Schizosaccharomyces pombe: one gene and its partners. The protein of the gene in region 2 purifies or fractionates together with the protein of the main gene of each other region. This does not show direct contact. Each region holds a gene or a part of one and is shown on either strand. Other genes may lie near its edges.

The links.
Region 1: the proteins of epl1 (region 2) and tra2 purify together in Schizosaccharomyces pombe (affinity purification with mass spectrometry; 2 studies listed by BioGRID). This does not show direct contact.
Region 3: the proteins of epl1 (region 2) and png1 purify together in Schizosaccharomyces pombe (affinity purification with mass spectrometry, with the first as the bait; one study listed by BioGRID). This does not show direct contact.

Annotation. Positions count from the first base shown.
Region 1 is NC_003424.3:257,502-262,833, reverse strand, and holds the start of tra2 (phosphatidylinositol kinase-like protein Tra2), read right to left. Parts: upstream 3,224-5,332; 5' UTR 3,116-3,223; coding exon 3,052-3,115; intron 2,991-3,051; coding exon 1-2,990. Other genes in the region: plasma membrane potassium ion transmembrane transporter Trk2, read left to right, coding at 3,373-3,478, 3,519-3,673, 3,714-4,614, 4,650-5,332.
Region 2 is NC_003421.2:2,187,120-2,192,973, forward strand, and holds epl1 (NuA4 histone acetyltransferase core complex-Piccolo HAT module linker protein Epl1), read right to left. Parts: upstream 3,757-5,854; 5' UTR 3,611-3,756; coding exon 3,443-3,610; exon of another isoform or gene 3,236-3,442; intron 2,922-3,235; coding exon 1,416-2,921; 3' UTR 964-1,415; downstream 1-963. Other genes in the region: protein mug128, read right to left, coding at 1-35; cnb1 (calcineurin regulatory subunit B), read left to right, coding at 5,085-5,136, 5,330-5,566, 5,629-5,741, 5,795-5,854. UniProt on the Schizosaccharomyces pombe protein: Component of the NuA4 histone acetyltransferase complex which is involved in transcriptional activation of selected genes principally by acetylation of nucleosomal histone H4 and H2A. The NuA4 complex is also involved in DNA repair.
Region 3 is NC_003424.3:3,167,171-3,171,751, forward strand, and holds png1 (chromatin modification-related protein), read right to left. Parts: upstream 2,218-4,581; 5' UTR 1,873-2,217; coding exon 1,021-1,872; 3' UTR 724-1,020; downstream 1-723. Other genes in the region: tif211 (translation initiation factor eIF2 alpha subunit), read left to right, coding at 1-374; class 1 histone deacetylase Hos2, read left to right, coding at 2,940-4,244; phenylalanine--tRNA (Phe) ligase alpha subunit Frs2, read right to left, coding at 4,414-4,581. UniProt on the Schizosaccharomyces pombe protein: Component of a histone deacetylase complex responsible for the deacetylation of lysine residues on the N-terminal part of the core histones (H2A, H2B, H3 and H4).

The sequences.
Region 1 (5,332 bases), on a different chromosome or scaffold from region 2:
CCAGAAGTAAGCTTCTTCGCGGAGTTCATCAACCGTCGTAGCAAAAAAAAGTCCATATGTAGCCGAGGCCAAAATTATGGTTTCATCTGAATCATCACTCAGTTGGGTGAATGAACTCCTTCCAGTCATTCGGCTCGGTATTACAGAATATGGTCGTCGAAAATCAAAATTACTCTTAGAAATCTTGTCTGCAGTACATCGAATGGATGAGGCTAAGCTGTTAGTAGCGTCACTCTTATAAACATAGAGCTTTGAAATATTGCAAACATAAGTGAACGCTTGTTGCTTAACCTCCAGATCACTAGAAGGGCTAGAAAGCAAATTCACAGCCTCATCAACATATTGGGTGTAATGTAAAAGTTGTGGTTGTTTAACCCCTTTTATCGAAAGAAGTAAAGTAAAATCGTTATTCGGTTCCGGCGAATTCTTTAAACTCTGGACTCTATCAAGAAGCTTCCTATTTCTTCCACCAAGTTTACCAAGTATTTTCAAGGCAGTATGGCTGTGATTATAATTATAAGGAAGAGGTTGTAGATGACTCCATAAAGCATTCATTAGATCTTCTATGTAAGGAGCCATTATCGGATCCAAAAAATCAGGAGTGAGATTATCCAAGCATAATTCAAAGGTTCGTAATCCCTGACTAACTAATTCTTGACTGCTTTTTAAAGACATGACGAGAGGTCTCATTAGATAACTCATGTATGGTAATAAAAGACTAAGCCTTACAGGAATAGTAAGACAAAGTTCGGTAAAAAGGTCTTTCTCCTTCGGAGTACGGGCAGATATAAGCAATGAATTAAATGCCTCTAATAGAGCGTGCAACAAAGGCATTACTTCTTTATAAAGGCTTTCAAATCTTCCCCCACCAATTCCTCGGAACAACGCTCTTAATAGATAATAGTAGTTCAATGAATTAGCAGAATTGGGAGCCAACTTCATACATTTCACAATAATTTCAGATACATAAGGCCGAAGAACTGGCTCATTCTCTGTTGCAAACATTGAGACTGTAACGAAAGAAAGACGAAACAAACGCAACAAGACAGAACCATGCCTGATGTCAGAAGATCCGAGTTCCTCAATTCTGGAAAGCAGAAATCGAAGTAAAATATTTAAAAATTTTGATGATGTGCTCTCATTTGAAAGCAAAAACTGTGGAATGTGAAATAATGTGAGATTTTTTTTAAGTTGATCAAAAAAAGTAGGAAGGTTTGTTTCAAAAACTTTAAGAAATATAGATGGCTCGAGATGTATAAAAATGGTAGCAAATACTTCAAGACAATCTTTCTCGTCTTTGTTACGAGGAAGCGTAGATATAGCAGGGCGATCTAAACTTTCTTCTTCGCAGCAGAAAAAAGTTTCTAAATAGACTTGCTCAGGTCGAAAATATGAGAATCCTTTGCCAACCTCAAAAAAAAGCTTCTGAAACGTAACAGCTTCGAAAGGCTTGATATTCGTAAGGAATCCCGAAAATTGTTCACCTCCAATTTCTATGCATCGAGACTTGCATGTACGAAGCCCATACATAAGAGCCCGTAAGCCAAACATCAAGTTTTTAAAAAGAAATGATCCATCATTGACGGAAGTGCTAAATGAAGATAAATCCCTAGGAGAAGAACGCGTCGGTGACTTTGTCTCTTTAATTTCTTCTTCATACTTTTTCTTAAAAAACTGATCCAAACTATCATTAAGTTCCGAAAACTTATTTACAAAGCTATCAAAAATAGATAAAAGAAGAAATATAGCATCGGGGATGCTAGGAAGACTAATCATTCTGTCAACCATGTTTAAAATGAGCCGGGCACCCATAGTCTGTAACCCAATGCTAAGAGTCAAATCATGCATATTGGTCGAATAAATCATTATAGATTTTCTTATTTGCGTTTCGTTAAGTTCGTCACGTACATGATGAAGTAAGTCAGCTAATGTACTAAATGCCAAGGGACGTAACAGCTTTTGAGTACCAACTCCATTTCCTAATAATATATTTAAATCTAACAAAAAATCCAGCTTTTTGACAAAAAGAGATTTTAAGTTTGTTGACAGAATATGTCTCGTAGCAACCAGCAGTTCTTTACGGGCAAAACACATATCAAAAGGGCATCGCCTCAAAAGCTTTATTACAATGTCCGGTATTATATCCTTCTCAGAAAGTGTATTGGGATGAGTTCGTAAAATATAAGCCAAGAAAGATAAAGTCTTTACTTGAGCCATAAAAAAATTACGGTACTGATATTTATTCCTTATAAACTCAATAAAGTCAATGCTTGAATCTTTTTCAATCATTGCATATGAAGCGATGTCTATTGGAACATCAATTTGTACCATCTTAAGAAAACAGGGAATTATGGCTTGAACACCAGGGAAAGCAGCTTGACGATATGCTTGAAGAATCAAAACTATAATGACCGGACACTCTACATACACGCGGAAACTTTGAGAAGCCAGTTCCAAAGGTTGAGTAGAAATAGCTAAAGAATTGACACGCTGTTGGATGATTGAAGTTTCCGTAGACAGATAACTACCAAAAGCCAGGGTTGTATTTTCCTCTTCATTTGATTTTGGATTCTCGACAAATATTGAGGGAATTAAATAAGGAAGGTTTGTAGAAAGCTCAAGTACCAAGTCAAAAAAGGGTTGTGCAGTGCTTTCTATACAAAACTTAAAAGTTTTGAATATATCCATAATAACTTTTAAGCAAAAAACAGCGACTTCTTCATTATCTGCTTTAATCAAGCTAATGAACGAAAGCACACAAGACTGCGCATATTGTTTAAATTCATCACGGTGAGCGCAACTTTGTATTAAAGTCAATGCTTCGATCTTGAGTTCATTGACAGAAGAATTTCTATAAAGATTCACCTCTGTATTTCGTAAAAAATCCAAGAGTAGTGGAATTAATTCTGCATACAGCTGCGAGGCGTCTGAAGATATGCTAGAAACCTTAGTAATTAAAATTTTAGTTAGTTTGATTTTTTCTTCTATTTCTTAAAAAAAGTTAGTATAAAATAAAAAAATGAATCAAAATATCTACAAAAATTTATATACCTGTACTTTCAGCTTTCAGTAGCTCTATAGAGCTGCTGAGCGACTTTTCAAAACCGTCTTCCATAACAAAGTTCGGTCCATGCAGATACTTTTTAATAAATCTTTGAAACCAAACTTGATACACTACGAGATTTTGGACACAGCTGTAAAAAAGCACAGAACGATTACTGTCAGATGTTGTTTAGTTGTTGCTATGTTCAAGGTGAATCGTATAGTGAGGACGCAAAACTGCACTATTCAAGAAGCCACTGAAGCTATTTGAAATCGACGTGAGTGTAATTTTTATCAAATACAATATAATACTGCTTTATAAACTATGACATGTTTGTACGATATAGAAGGTTTTTAAGAAGGAAAATATTATACAGATTTTATCATGCAGTTATCGGGTTTTTCTACAAACGGTTCCGGTTCCTTGAATACCATTGTATGTGAAAAACTTCTTTTCAAGCCTAACTTTGTTCAAGATTCTTTTATAATAGGAATGACTATTTTATGTTCAGTAATATTGTATGGGTCGGGAAATTTGCGCTACATAGATGCTTTGTTGTTGGCTTCTGGTTCTTGTACTCAGACTGGCTTGCAGCCTGTGGACCTCACGCAGATATCCATTTACCAACAGGTATGCATATTTTTAAATAAATTTTTTAACTATTTTTTAGTTAACTATTCTCCTTTTTGGAGTTTTGAGTACACCAATTACTGTGAACCTGGGCTTGACTTTGTTTAAGCTGTACTTCTATAACAAGCGATATGACATGGTCATAACAAATAATAAACTTAGGATGACATATACTTATCACACTGTAAGAAGAAGGGATACTCCAGAGCCTTCCAAAGTTGGCAATCGAAAAATTCGGGTTTTGTTAGACCAGGGTAATCAAATGCACCGGCCAGTTGCCCCAGAGACTAAGGCTGAGGAAGCTGAACACCAAGAGAATGAAAAACATCACAGGCACCATTTTCGTCTAAGGAAATTTGCTAATGCAATCGATCGCCCAAGCTTCTTTCGCGGGAATACCATGCCCGCTCTCCCTAGTTATGCAGGTGTTAGAAATTCTCAAGAAAATGAAGACAGAACTGAAGCATTAAGTCCAGCTCTTGGGAAACGAAGAATGGCATCAATCGACAATGGATCTTTATCCGTTGTACAAAACAATGCTAGAAATAATCCTGTCGACTTTTACATTCCTAGTTCGTTTGAAGAATCATCTTTTCAAACAATTCCTGAGGATTTTGAGCCTCAAGTACATGACCACGAGAATCAAACACAACTGAACCATCATCTGGATAACAACAGTTCTATCTCTTCGCACAATCCTTCCCTAGAAACTGCAAATGATGGTAATCAGGAAACTGTTTCATCCTCAAACTCAAACTACAGCACAACAAGAGTTGACAATGATCCACATGTAGCATCTTATTCACCTCAAAATTCGAATTTTGATCATCAGGCTGCTGCAACTACTAACGATGCACATCAAAATGTAGTACGCGGCTCTGCAATTACCATTGCACCAACCCCTGTTCCCAGGCATAATCGCAGGCCTATATATTTTGCTGGTAAGTCATTCCGTGATTTTAATATTGACCTTTAGATGACACGAATGGAGCTGAGCAGGAAAAAGGTGCTCATCGACTTGATGGACGAGGTAGAAAACGTGGTAAATCATTTGCTGTTACACCTACACTTCACAGGAATGAGCGCTCAATGTCTGTCCTACCATTTCAATTAGCCAAATCATTTACATCTGCTCTTCCTCGAAGACTCACATTCAACCGTACTCACACGAAAGCTAGCACAATGAGTTTACCTTATTTATCGTACAATGCAACAGTGGGCAGAAATTCTGCATTTTATGCCTTAACTCCAGTGGAGAGAGAAGAATTGGCGGGAATTGAATATGAATCTCTCAGGATATTGACTGTCATATTAGTGGTTTATTTTCTGTTTTGGCATATTCTTGGTTTGGTTGCGTTCCTAATATTCATTTATACTGCTAAAACATCCGGTCGTGTAGTTACGGACGGCGGTATAAATAGAGGCTGGTGGGCAGCGTTTACTTCTAGTTCGCTGTTTGATAATCTAGGCTATTCGTTGAACAGCGATTCTTTAAATTCCTTTCAAAAAGCCATATTTCCTCAGGTTCTTGGAACTATTCTGATATTTTTAGGGAATACTTTCTTTCCAATTATGCTCCGGTTTATAATTTGGATTATGATACGAACAACGAGATTTTCGCCTAATTTCCAGCAAGCTTTGTACTTTCTTTTCGAACAC
Region 2 (5,854 bases):
GATTCCTTTACATAATGCAAATTGGCATATTCCATGTTTATGATGCTTTGCAGACAGTCGACCATTCTACAATAAATTCGATACGTCGCCGAACGTACGCATCGTTTGAGAGATTTGTAGCGCCTGTTTTTGGGCCTGAATAGTCTTTTCGCTATAAAATTGTGCATTTAAAATGGAATCGAGCGGCTGTTAAGAGTGTTGTTTTAAAATTTAAAATATAAAAGAATGTTTAATTGGTAATATTACCAAAGCAATATATCAATTAGTACCTTGACTGATTTATTATTGCAGATGTTTTATATCTTCGTTTGGTAGTGTTGAAGTTTACGTGACTAAAGAAGTTGTTGGTAAATAGTTAAGTGTAAACAATGAAGTGAATAGTATGCATGTGAGTATTACTAGTTTTTTATTTTCATAAAAGCTAAACAGTAAATCTATTAATCATTCATATACTTAATGACTTTAATTGAATCCCCAAAGTCGTTATGATGAACCTAAAATTTGTCAGTTCAGTTAAAAAAGTTGTTTCAAGTTTTTTATAATTGAAAGTAACAACAATAAAAAGATAAAGGTTATTGATATTCAATTAAGTCGATAATTTCTAAATCTCCTACTGCAATCATAATTGCTAGAAGTACGCCTTATTAACACATACTATGGAAACTAAGAGTGAGCATTATAAATTCGATATGACTCTTCTTCATATTTGCTATTGTATCTTGTAGCAATGAGAGAGACATATAGTTAGTGGATGATTTTCTAAAAAATAAGCTCAGAGAACTAAAGTAAATGGTTATAGAACAAAAAGGAAAGAAACCAATAAATATATAATCAACAACCCAACGCAATGACTTAGTCTGAAATTTTTCCAAAACTACTTAAAAAGCTAAAAATGTATTCAATTTGAATACGAATTCGATAAGTCGTTAAGACATAAACTTCGTACATCGTATATTTATTATATGCTAAATTAAAAAAGCTGAACAATGAATTGAATGTCATTAAAAAAGTCATTAACCACATGCAAGTCTAAAAAAGCGGGATCACCAAAAATTTTGTAACAATTCACCGATTCAACTAGTACAGTATCAAATAAATTAGCGACGATAAAGAATCTATGCATGCATAAAACCAGGGTTGGACTGTAGAAGCAAAATCAAATCTTGTGAGCCAAAAAAAAAGCTGACTATGCTTTCAAGTCAATTCCCCCTATTAAATTTTTTATTTGGACAAACAAAAATCATAAAAATGAATAAACACTATTTTTCTAAAGAGAAAAATAGATTATACCCCAAATCCCTTCAAGAAATCAATCAAAATCTTAAATAAGCTAGTCGAGGAGAAATAGTTAAAATAAAATTTGATCGAAATCTTTAGTAATGGAAATATTATAAATACCATAGATAAAAAGCGTTTTATGACTGAGTACCCATATCATCGTTTAGCAAGCTAGCTCGAAACATTATAGAAGCATCAGATTCATCATCGAGTATAATTGTGTCATCGGCATCAAAGGGAATGTCAAAAAGCCATCGATCTTCAACACGAGATTTTGGTTTACTCAACCGATGTACTGGCAATGCACGAGTGCGATCCAACATCAAACGCCCTCCACGTCCTATTCGTTGTCGAACGCAGATGGGATTTCTGGGATGTAATAAAGTGCTATAGCCGTATAAAGAGTTATTTGAAGAGAATGAAAGTGAATCGCACGTATTAAAATTAGATAGGGAAGAGTGAGGTGTAGAGTAGGTGGGTCCATTATCAGATAATGGAGTCGAAGGGGTTGAGGAAGGAATACTCAGTTGATTATGGGATTGTTTCGTTTCTTTTCCTGAATAATATGGAATAATGTTTCGGTAAAACGAATCGGGATAATTAGTATGAATAACGGTACTAGGCGTCTCCAAAAGGTCAACCCAATTACGATCGAGCTGTTCCTTCTTGGTAAGACGTTGCTGAAGACGAATCTGAAATTGTGTAATTTGGGCTGATTGAACATCATCAAGCATTAATAACGGTCGAACTTCGACATTTCGCGTAGGTTGTGGGCGATAGGAAGCAGGGTGAGGAGAAGTTTTTACAGGTGGAGCTGGAGTAGGTACAGGGGCGGCGGGCTTTACCTCAATAGGACGTCGTTTAGGATTGATTAAAAGTTCATCACTGTCTTTTATATTTAGAGTACGTTTAAGCTTTTTGACAAGACAGCGCTTCTGGAAAATAGCATAGTCGTCTTCAAGCGCTTGCAGCTTCTTTTGCTCACGTTTGTACACTTGTTCCAGTAACTGAAGACTTGTCTCCATGCTTTGTCGTAACCTCCGTAAGCGATCATAAGACTGAGCGTCCGACCGACGAGTTTTGCGAGCCTGTCGAATTTCACGACGACGAAAACAAACATATGGATCATCATCATCCTTATCATCGCCAACTTGTGCTTTAGCCATAATTGGAAGACCACCCTTACTGATACGACGCTCACGCCAATAAGGGTATACTTGACTAGCTAGTGGTTTCAAGTACAGTACATCTTTTAACTCGAAGGAGGTGATGAGCTCAGACAAAGGCAATATTTGAGAGGTATCCATGCTCAAAAAAGGCTGATTTTGATTAATTTCCTCTTCAAACGTCTGCATGACAATTTCAAAATCTAATTCAGAAAATTTGGAAAGAGAAGGTTGAGCCTGTTTCAACTTCAGAAAATATTCCGTATCATGTTCATCCATGCAATATTCTGGGTTTGTACATTCTTCCACAGTGAGAGAAAACCGAATTAATGTCTTAGGAAGAATGAAATTCTTTTTGTAATATTTGTCAATTATACCTATATTTTTAGCCTCCCGTGTAGGGATAATAAGCTTTTTTTCAGATCCACGCACAATGGCCTCATGGGCTTCATTGATGACTTGTTGCAAATGTTTTTCCTATAAATTGTTAGAAATCTAAGTAATCGAAGATGAATGAAAAGCGATAAGAAAAAGGACAGCTGTATTCCAAAAACAATAAATAATCAAATAAATAAGCATTGCTAGAAACATAACCCAAAACATTCATTAGCCACAATAATGAAGTAGCAATCTTTTCTCAGTAAAATCAAATTTAGAATAAAAACTAAAAAGGTTCAATGAATCCGTTGAAAAAAAAAAAAAAACCTCAAAATTCGTGAAAGAAGGAGCATCAATATTTTTCAAGTAACTTTTAATTCTCAGTTTACTAATCTTTACAAGAGTAACTTTAACACAAACAAACTAGCAAGTTTAAAAAATTCAGAAATTCGATGCAACTCCGCTCAAATCATAATTTTCCGCATAACCCTTCGTATACATTGTAAAACGGTGATTAAGCACCTTTAAAAAGAGTGTTTATTTTTGTCAACGAAATCCATCAAGAAGCCAAGGTTTTTCGTACTTTTCATTATCTTTCACATTCTCGGGTTCGCACTTACCTCTTCCTCTTCTTTTTCAACACCAGATTCCACCAAGGGAACTGTCCGCTGAAGTGAAGCTTCTTCATCAAAGTCAGGTATATCACGTTCGAAATAAATCGGCATAACGGTTTTAATACCGACCTTCCGTTGACGATATGCCCTAGCATTTTTGGAGACGGAACTCATGATAATATTGGTATCGTTGGACTCCAATCACTTAAATCTATCCAACCGTAAAATTATAAGATACTCGTCTCACTCAAAATCTTGTAGAAACAGGCGCTAAATCCTGGCGTAGTTGACGGCCGTCGTCGTTGGTGTGTCAAACCACTAGGGGTTAACAAACCGAATGAAATTTTTCATAAACCTCTTCACTGCGATAATTTACCGAGGAGCAACGTAACCAAAAATAATTTTCTAATACGCTCGTACCGTTAATATACAACGTATTGTAGCGATATTTACTGGAGATTCCAGGTGTAAACAATGGAAGAAACCGATGGCAGGAGAAACAAAAGAGGAAATTGTCAACCATCAGTTGAAGTGAAGTCCATAAAACTCCATAGTGAATTATAAGGAATCAAGTTCTATCATAGTTCATCTTATTGACGTCGGAAAACCCTCGTCAATACTCAATAGAAAAAAAGCATTACTAATTCAAAAGAAAAGTCATGATCTGCTAGTATTCGTAGTCTCTAGTAGCAGAAAAAAGCACTTGATTTTTACTTTCAATGCGTGTTATAGACCATGAATAGGCATTTCTGTTAGAATAATAAACTGTTCGCAGCAGAGCCAGGTGGAACATAGAAGTAAACAGCGGAATAAATTCTACATTTTTTTCCACTAACGAAGATGTTTTCCGTATCTCATCAATTATCTATGCCAACTGCGCATAGTATAGGGTGAGAAAAATGAATGTCTTTTTCAAAACGAAGCAAGTTGTAGACAAACATTTTCAACGTTCCACATTTGCTTTTTCCAGAAACCAAGCCCTTTTCAGGAAGATTAAAATTTGATTTAAAAACATGAATTGCAATCTTTCAAATATTCGAAAGTCCTTTCAAATACTTACCAAACATGTCGAAAAATTGCTCATTCTCAGATTTTGCTTCCTTCATAATCTTAAGCTCATATGGTAAAGCTTAATCAGCATAAAACTGCTAAAGCAGTTTAAAAAAAATTTGGTCATCAGAAAGAATAAAGGTTAAAGGTATTTAGTTTTGAAAAATTACAAAACCTCGCCTTTAAAAATCCAAGATGCAGAAACAGCCATCTCCAAAGCAATTATGAATTGCTCTAAACCTCAATTCTTTGTCGTTTTTAAGCCGGATTTTCGTTTGATGCATCCTTTCTAAAAATGAAAAGCTGCCATTGCAGTTGAATTTTCAATTACAAGCTTACAGATAATTTTCATAGCTATTTTTTTGCACAACCCAACATGTTTTCAAGTCATTTTTTGAAATTTACGGATTCCACGATTATCTTTGAGATTGGTGGAAGACAAAGTGTGCCAAGTGACATTCGACCCTTACATTCAGAAGGATTTTGACTCAAACTACCACCACCGATATAAGGAATTTTCTTTGAAAGGTAGCTGACCGTTATATTCTTGGTTTGTTAATTGAACCTTACTCATTTCATATTATTGTGTTTCCCTCTCATGGGTCAGTCGCAGTCGCAAATCTTTGAGGACTTGATCTCAAATTCATCCTGTAAGTTTGATGCTTAGTACGTGTGGCCAAAAGTGTTCTTATCATTATATTTTTTCATGTTAGAATACTTACATCTCTTGTCGTCTATTTCTTTTTAAGATTATAGCCAATTCATCAAAGTTGCCGGTTTCACATGCACAATGCAAAAGTATTAGCACCTCAAAGCGACTCGGCTAACGTTCATTGTATCTAGTTTCCAATGAGGAGATAGAAAGAATTCGCAAGCGTTTTATTAAAATAGATGCTAACCAATCTGGCTCTATTGACCGAAACGAATTTTTGTCGATTCCCAGTGTAGCTTCTAACCCACTTGCTTCCAGACTGTTTTCAGTTGTAGACGAAGACGGTGGAGGAGATGTGGACTTTCAAGAATTTATTAATAGCCTTTCTGTATTTTCAGTGCATGGCAATAAAGAGGAAAAGCTGAAGTGTAAGCTCAATCAACTTGTCGTTCCTTTGCAAATTATGTTCTAACATTATTGTTTTATCTAGTTGCCTTCAAGATTTATGATATTGACCGTGATGGTTATATTTCAAACGGAGAACTTTATCTAGTTCTGAAAATGATGGTTGGCACGAATCTTCGGGAAGATCAATTGCAGCAGGTATGTTATAGACAAAACCTCTTATCTCAAAATCTGACTCCTATTATAACTAGATTGTTGACAAAACCATTATGGAAGTTGATAAGGATCGCGATGGAAAAATTAGCTTTGAA
Region 3 (4,581 bases), on a different chromosome or scaffold from region 2:
TTAAAATTCGTGCTGACGTTGAAGTCACTTGCTTTGGCTACGAAGGTATTAACGCTATCAAGGCCGCTTTGAAGGCTGCTGAAGATGTTCATACCGAGGAGGTTCCTATCAAAGTTAAACTTGTTGCTCCTCCACTTTACGTCCTTTTGACAAACGCATTAGATAAGTCATTGGGTCTCAAAAAGCTAGAAGAGGCAATTGGTGCAATCGAAAAATCCATTACAGCATCCAATGGTACCTGTACTGTTAAAATGAAACCCAAGGCGGTTAGTGAAACTGACGAATTGGAGCTTGCCGATTTGATGAAAAAATTTGAAAAGGAAAATGCTGAAATCTCTGGTGATGAAGAGGATGACCAAAGCGGTTCTGAGTAAATGGATTAGACACTAGCTAATATACGCTTTTTCATTGTGAATTTTTGGCACTTTAGTGTTCCATTATAATCTGGGGTTCTTTTTATTTTGTACTATACACTTTATCAAATTTATCTAGTGATATCTATGGTTAAAAAATTTCCTCTTCTTTTTTCCGAATGCGTAAGAGTTCTTTTATATGTTACGAGATAATATGAAAACGCTAGACGCTGCATCTTGTTCCTTTGTATGTACAATAATAAGTTCAGTTCCAATATAGTAGAAATAATGGACAACAAATGCAATTACAAATAATAAAGTTACAAAAGACTTATTACTGTGGTTAGCTACGGCGTGTAATATCTGCTTTGGGGAGGATTGGGGAAATTAAAGAACTGAATTTCTTAATGTACAAGTAATCTGGTACTTATTATGTGAGTGAAAAACAAACAAGGACAAGAATAAGATAAAAAGGATTCGTAATCGTGAAGATATGATTAATAAATTAACCATTTTGCAAATCACATATACACAGCTTGAACAACGTATAATCAAATATAGTAAGTTCGGAACAGGTGAAAAATTAGCGGATATTAAAGCCCAAAAAAAAACAACAATGCTTGCATTCAATAATGGGAAGACCAACAGACTTTAGATTGGGGAAAAATTACTTAGCATCAACAAGCTTCTGATCCCTACAAGCTTCGCAATACCATGTACCTTCAGGAGGAGCTTTAAGACCAACACACTCCATATGGAACCATTCACGCTCACAATTAGCATTGTCACAAGCGACCATTTGCCCATATGATCCTTGCTGGCAAAAACAATACTTTTCATTATCCTCTTCCATATCTTCTTCTGAGACCATTTCATTCGGCGTTGTGGAATCTGCCTTAGTTTCTAACTGGGTGGTTGCAGTGGCATTCGAAACCTTCTGACCGCGAGTTGAACCAGAATCTGCCAACGAAGCCGTATAAGGAGAGTGATAGACTCCATTTTGAATTGCACCCCTGGTAGTTGCTGAAGTACGACGGCGACCAGCTGTTGAGGCTCCCGACCGAGAAGGGGCCGGTGTTTGACGAGCACTTGAGGCACCACTTGGACTGTATCCACCATACGGTGAAGAAGCATAGTAGTCAGGAGCATTTAACAATTCCGCAGCTGTAAATCCATGACCGGCCTTTGCAAGTCTATCATCCAATCGCTTTATGTGCCGTGTAAGTCCCAATCTGGCACGATCCGCCAACTGGACTTTCTCGTTCTGTATATTAATTGCCTTTTGATACTCCTCGCGAATCGTCGAATACAAAGCATCTTCTTTTGGATGTGGGGTCAAGGAACCATGTGATTTAATGTATGACTGAATCTGAGAATCAGCTGCTTGAATTCTCTTCCAGATGTCATGTACAGCAACTTCCTTCACACTAATTTCGTCAAAGATGTGTTTTGTTTCGTTGGGAACATTATCCAACGTTTGCAAATACTCACTTAGTATGTAAGCTGTATCATCTGCCATTATTCTCAAATTGAAAATTATAGATACGTTCTAATTTCCGCTTTATGCAAAAATTATTATTATGATTTCAAATTCCAAAAGAAAGGGAGATTTGAGTCTTTTAAAGAGATAGGGAAAGTTGATATTCCACTAATATTTTCGATACTTCAATAACTAATGAATAAAAGATACTATGACTTTATCTTTTAAAGTAGAGGAATGTGACAATAAATGTACAAACGAGAAGGACAAAGACACTAATTGAAATAATATATATGAACCTATGGCTCGTTTTTGTGTCGTTTAAAGATTATTTTTACACTCTCTTAAGCTGCTGAAAATTTTTCCGGTTGTTTATAGTAGCCCACATTTGGTGTTGAGTTCCGCCACTCCATATAATGTAAACACAGTACTGGAAGGCAAAGAGGGCGAAATAAAAACATAAGAATTCACGCAAACCAAATCACTTTGAAGATAAATCTTTTCAACGTATGTATGATATCTAAGTTGCCAAATTGTCTATGAATTCACATGCTAAAGGTTACCATCTGTTTAAGTAATAACGATACGTTATTAATGTGTTAGTTCATATATGGAAGCATAACATACTAAACTACACCTAAGTTGGTAGCTTCCTTCTGTGTTCACTGAGATATACATTTTTAAGTTATAAGAATGAACCAGCACTAGCAATTCTTCAAAAAATTGTAAATCCTATTTGTTCTTGTGTTTATGGGCTTCAAAGAGTTTGAATTAACGCTTTGTTGAAGTTGTACATTTTATCTAATAAGGTATCGGGTTTAGCGACCTTTTGCTACGTATTCTGCGCTCGACGTAAAAATAAAGTATTTACAGTTCGTGTTGCTGTTTATTATTTGGATTGAATTCTTTTCTATAAAAAAATCTGGGTTGTTTTTCGATTTATATTAATTTGGCATTGGTCAATAACTTTCATTTCTCTTGTTTCTTCTGAAACAGTTATTAATTTGTTTCTTAATTTTATTTATTCTTTTCTTGTTCTTTCTTTAGAAAAGATATTTTCATTTAATTTGTCTCGCGGTTTTTTTTAGTATAATAGTCTGTATATCATGGATACTCCTGAGACATCCACACCTTATGAACAAGTTGAAAAGGGGTCTTTTTTTAGCTTTCGACCTCAAAAAAAGCGTGTCACATATCACTTAGATGAACAGGTGGGAAACTACCACTATGGTGACAAACATCCAATGAAGCCCCATCGAATTACCATTACAAATCATTTAGTGATGGGTTATGGGTTGCATAACAAAATGAGTGTATTCAGCCCCCGGATGGCAACTTTTGGTGAAATGTCAGAATTTCATAGGGAGGATTATTTGGATTTCCTTAAGCGCGTTACTCCTGATAATGCTGAACAATTTGCTGATAAGTTCCAACAATTCAATATTGGTGATGACTGTCCGGTCTTTGACGGCACTTATGAATTTTCTCAAAGGTCGGCAGGCGCTAGTTTGGATGCTTCTCGGAAGTTAGTGCAAGGTCAAACAGACATTGCTATCAATTGGAGCGGTGGTCTCCATCATGCAAAGCGTGGTGAGGCTAGTGGATTCTGCTATGTTAATGATATTGTTCTAGCAATTTTGAACATGCTACGGTTTTTTCCTCGCGTTTTGTATATCGATATCGATATTCATCATGGAGATGGTGTGCAGCAAGCATTCTATGAATCTGACCGCGTGTTGACGGTTTCTTTTCACAAGTATAATGGTGATTTTTTTCCTGCAACTGGTAATTTTGATGAAAATGGCGTGAAAGGAGGGAAATATTTTGCTTTAAACGTTCCTTTGGAAGATGGTATTGGTGATGAACAGTACACTAGTCTTTTCAAATCCATAATTGAACCAACTATCAATACTTTTCAACCTTCTGCAATTGTCCTTCAGTGTGGTGCTGATTCGCTTGGTTATGATCGGCTCGGCGTGTTCAATCTGAGCATCCATGCACATGGGGAATGTGTTAGATTTACCCGTTCATTCAATATACCCATGCTTGTAGTTGGAGGTGGTGGTTATACTCTTAGAAATGTTGCTAGAGCGTGGTGTTATGAAACTTCCATATGTGTAAACGAACAAATACCTTCAGAATTACCTCGTGAAACTTTGTATTACGAATTTTTCGCACCAGATTACACCCTCCATCCGCGATTAACCACGAAGATAGAAAATAAAAATACACCGAAAGCTCTTGAAGATCTTCGAATACGGGCCTTGGAGCAATTACGTTACTTAGGAGGAGCGCCAAGCGTTCAGATGCAGCAAATTCCACCAGACTTAACTGGGCATTTGGAAGAAGAAGACGAACGGTTGAATGATGAATACTTAGACAAAGCTGTGGATGTTCGCGTTCGAGGCTGATATTAATGAATTTTCGACTTTTTATTTGATATCCGTACAAACATCAAATAATTTTAGTTAATGTTTATAGACATTGTAAATATTAATAATTGACCCTATACGAAAATACGTTTACCATAGTGATTATGTATTATTTTTATAAACGATTATGCAAAAAAAAACACTAAATTTATTCCTCTTTGTCTAAACGAACTGCAGGGCTAGCCTCAATTAGGTCCAAGTTAACCTTAGGACCAATCAATTGTCTAATGTCGGCCACACCATATTTGATCATAGTGGGGCGCTCTAAAGAAAGACCAAAACCTAAACAACGAACATCTTTAGGTAATCCCATAGG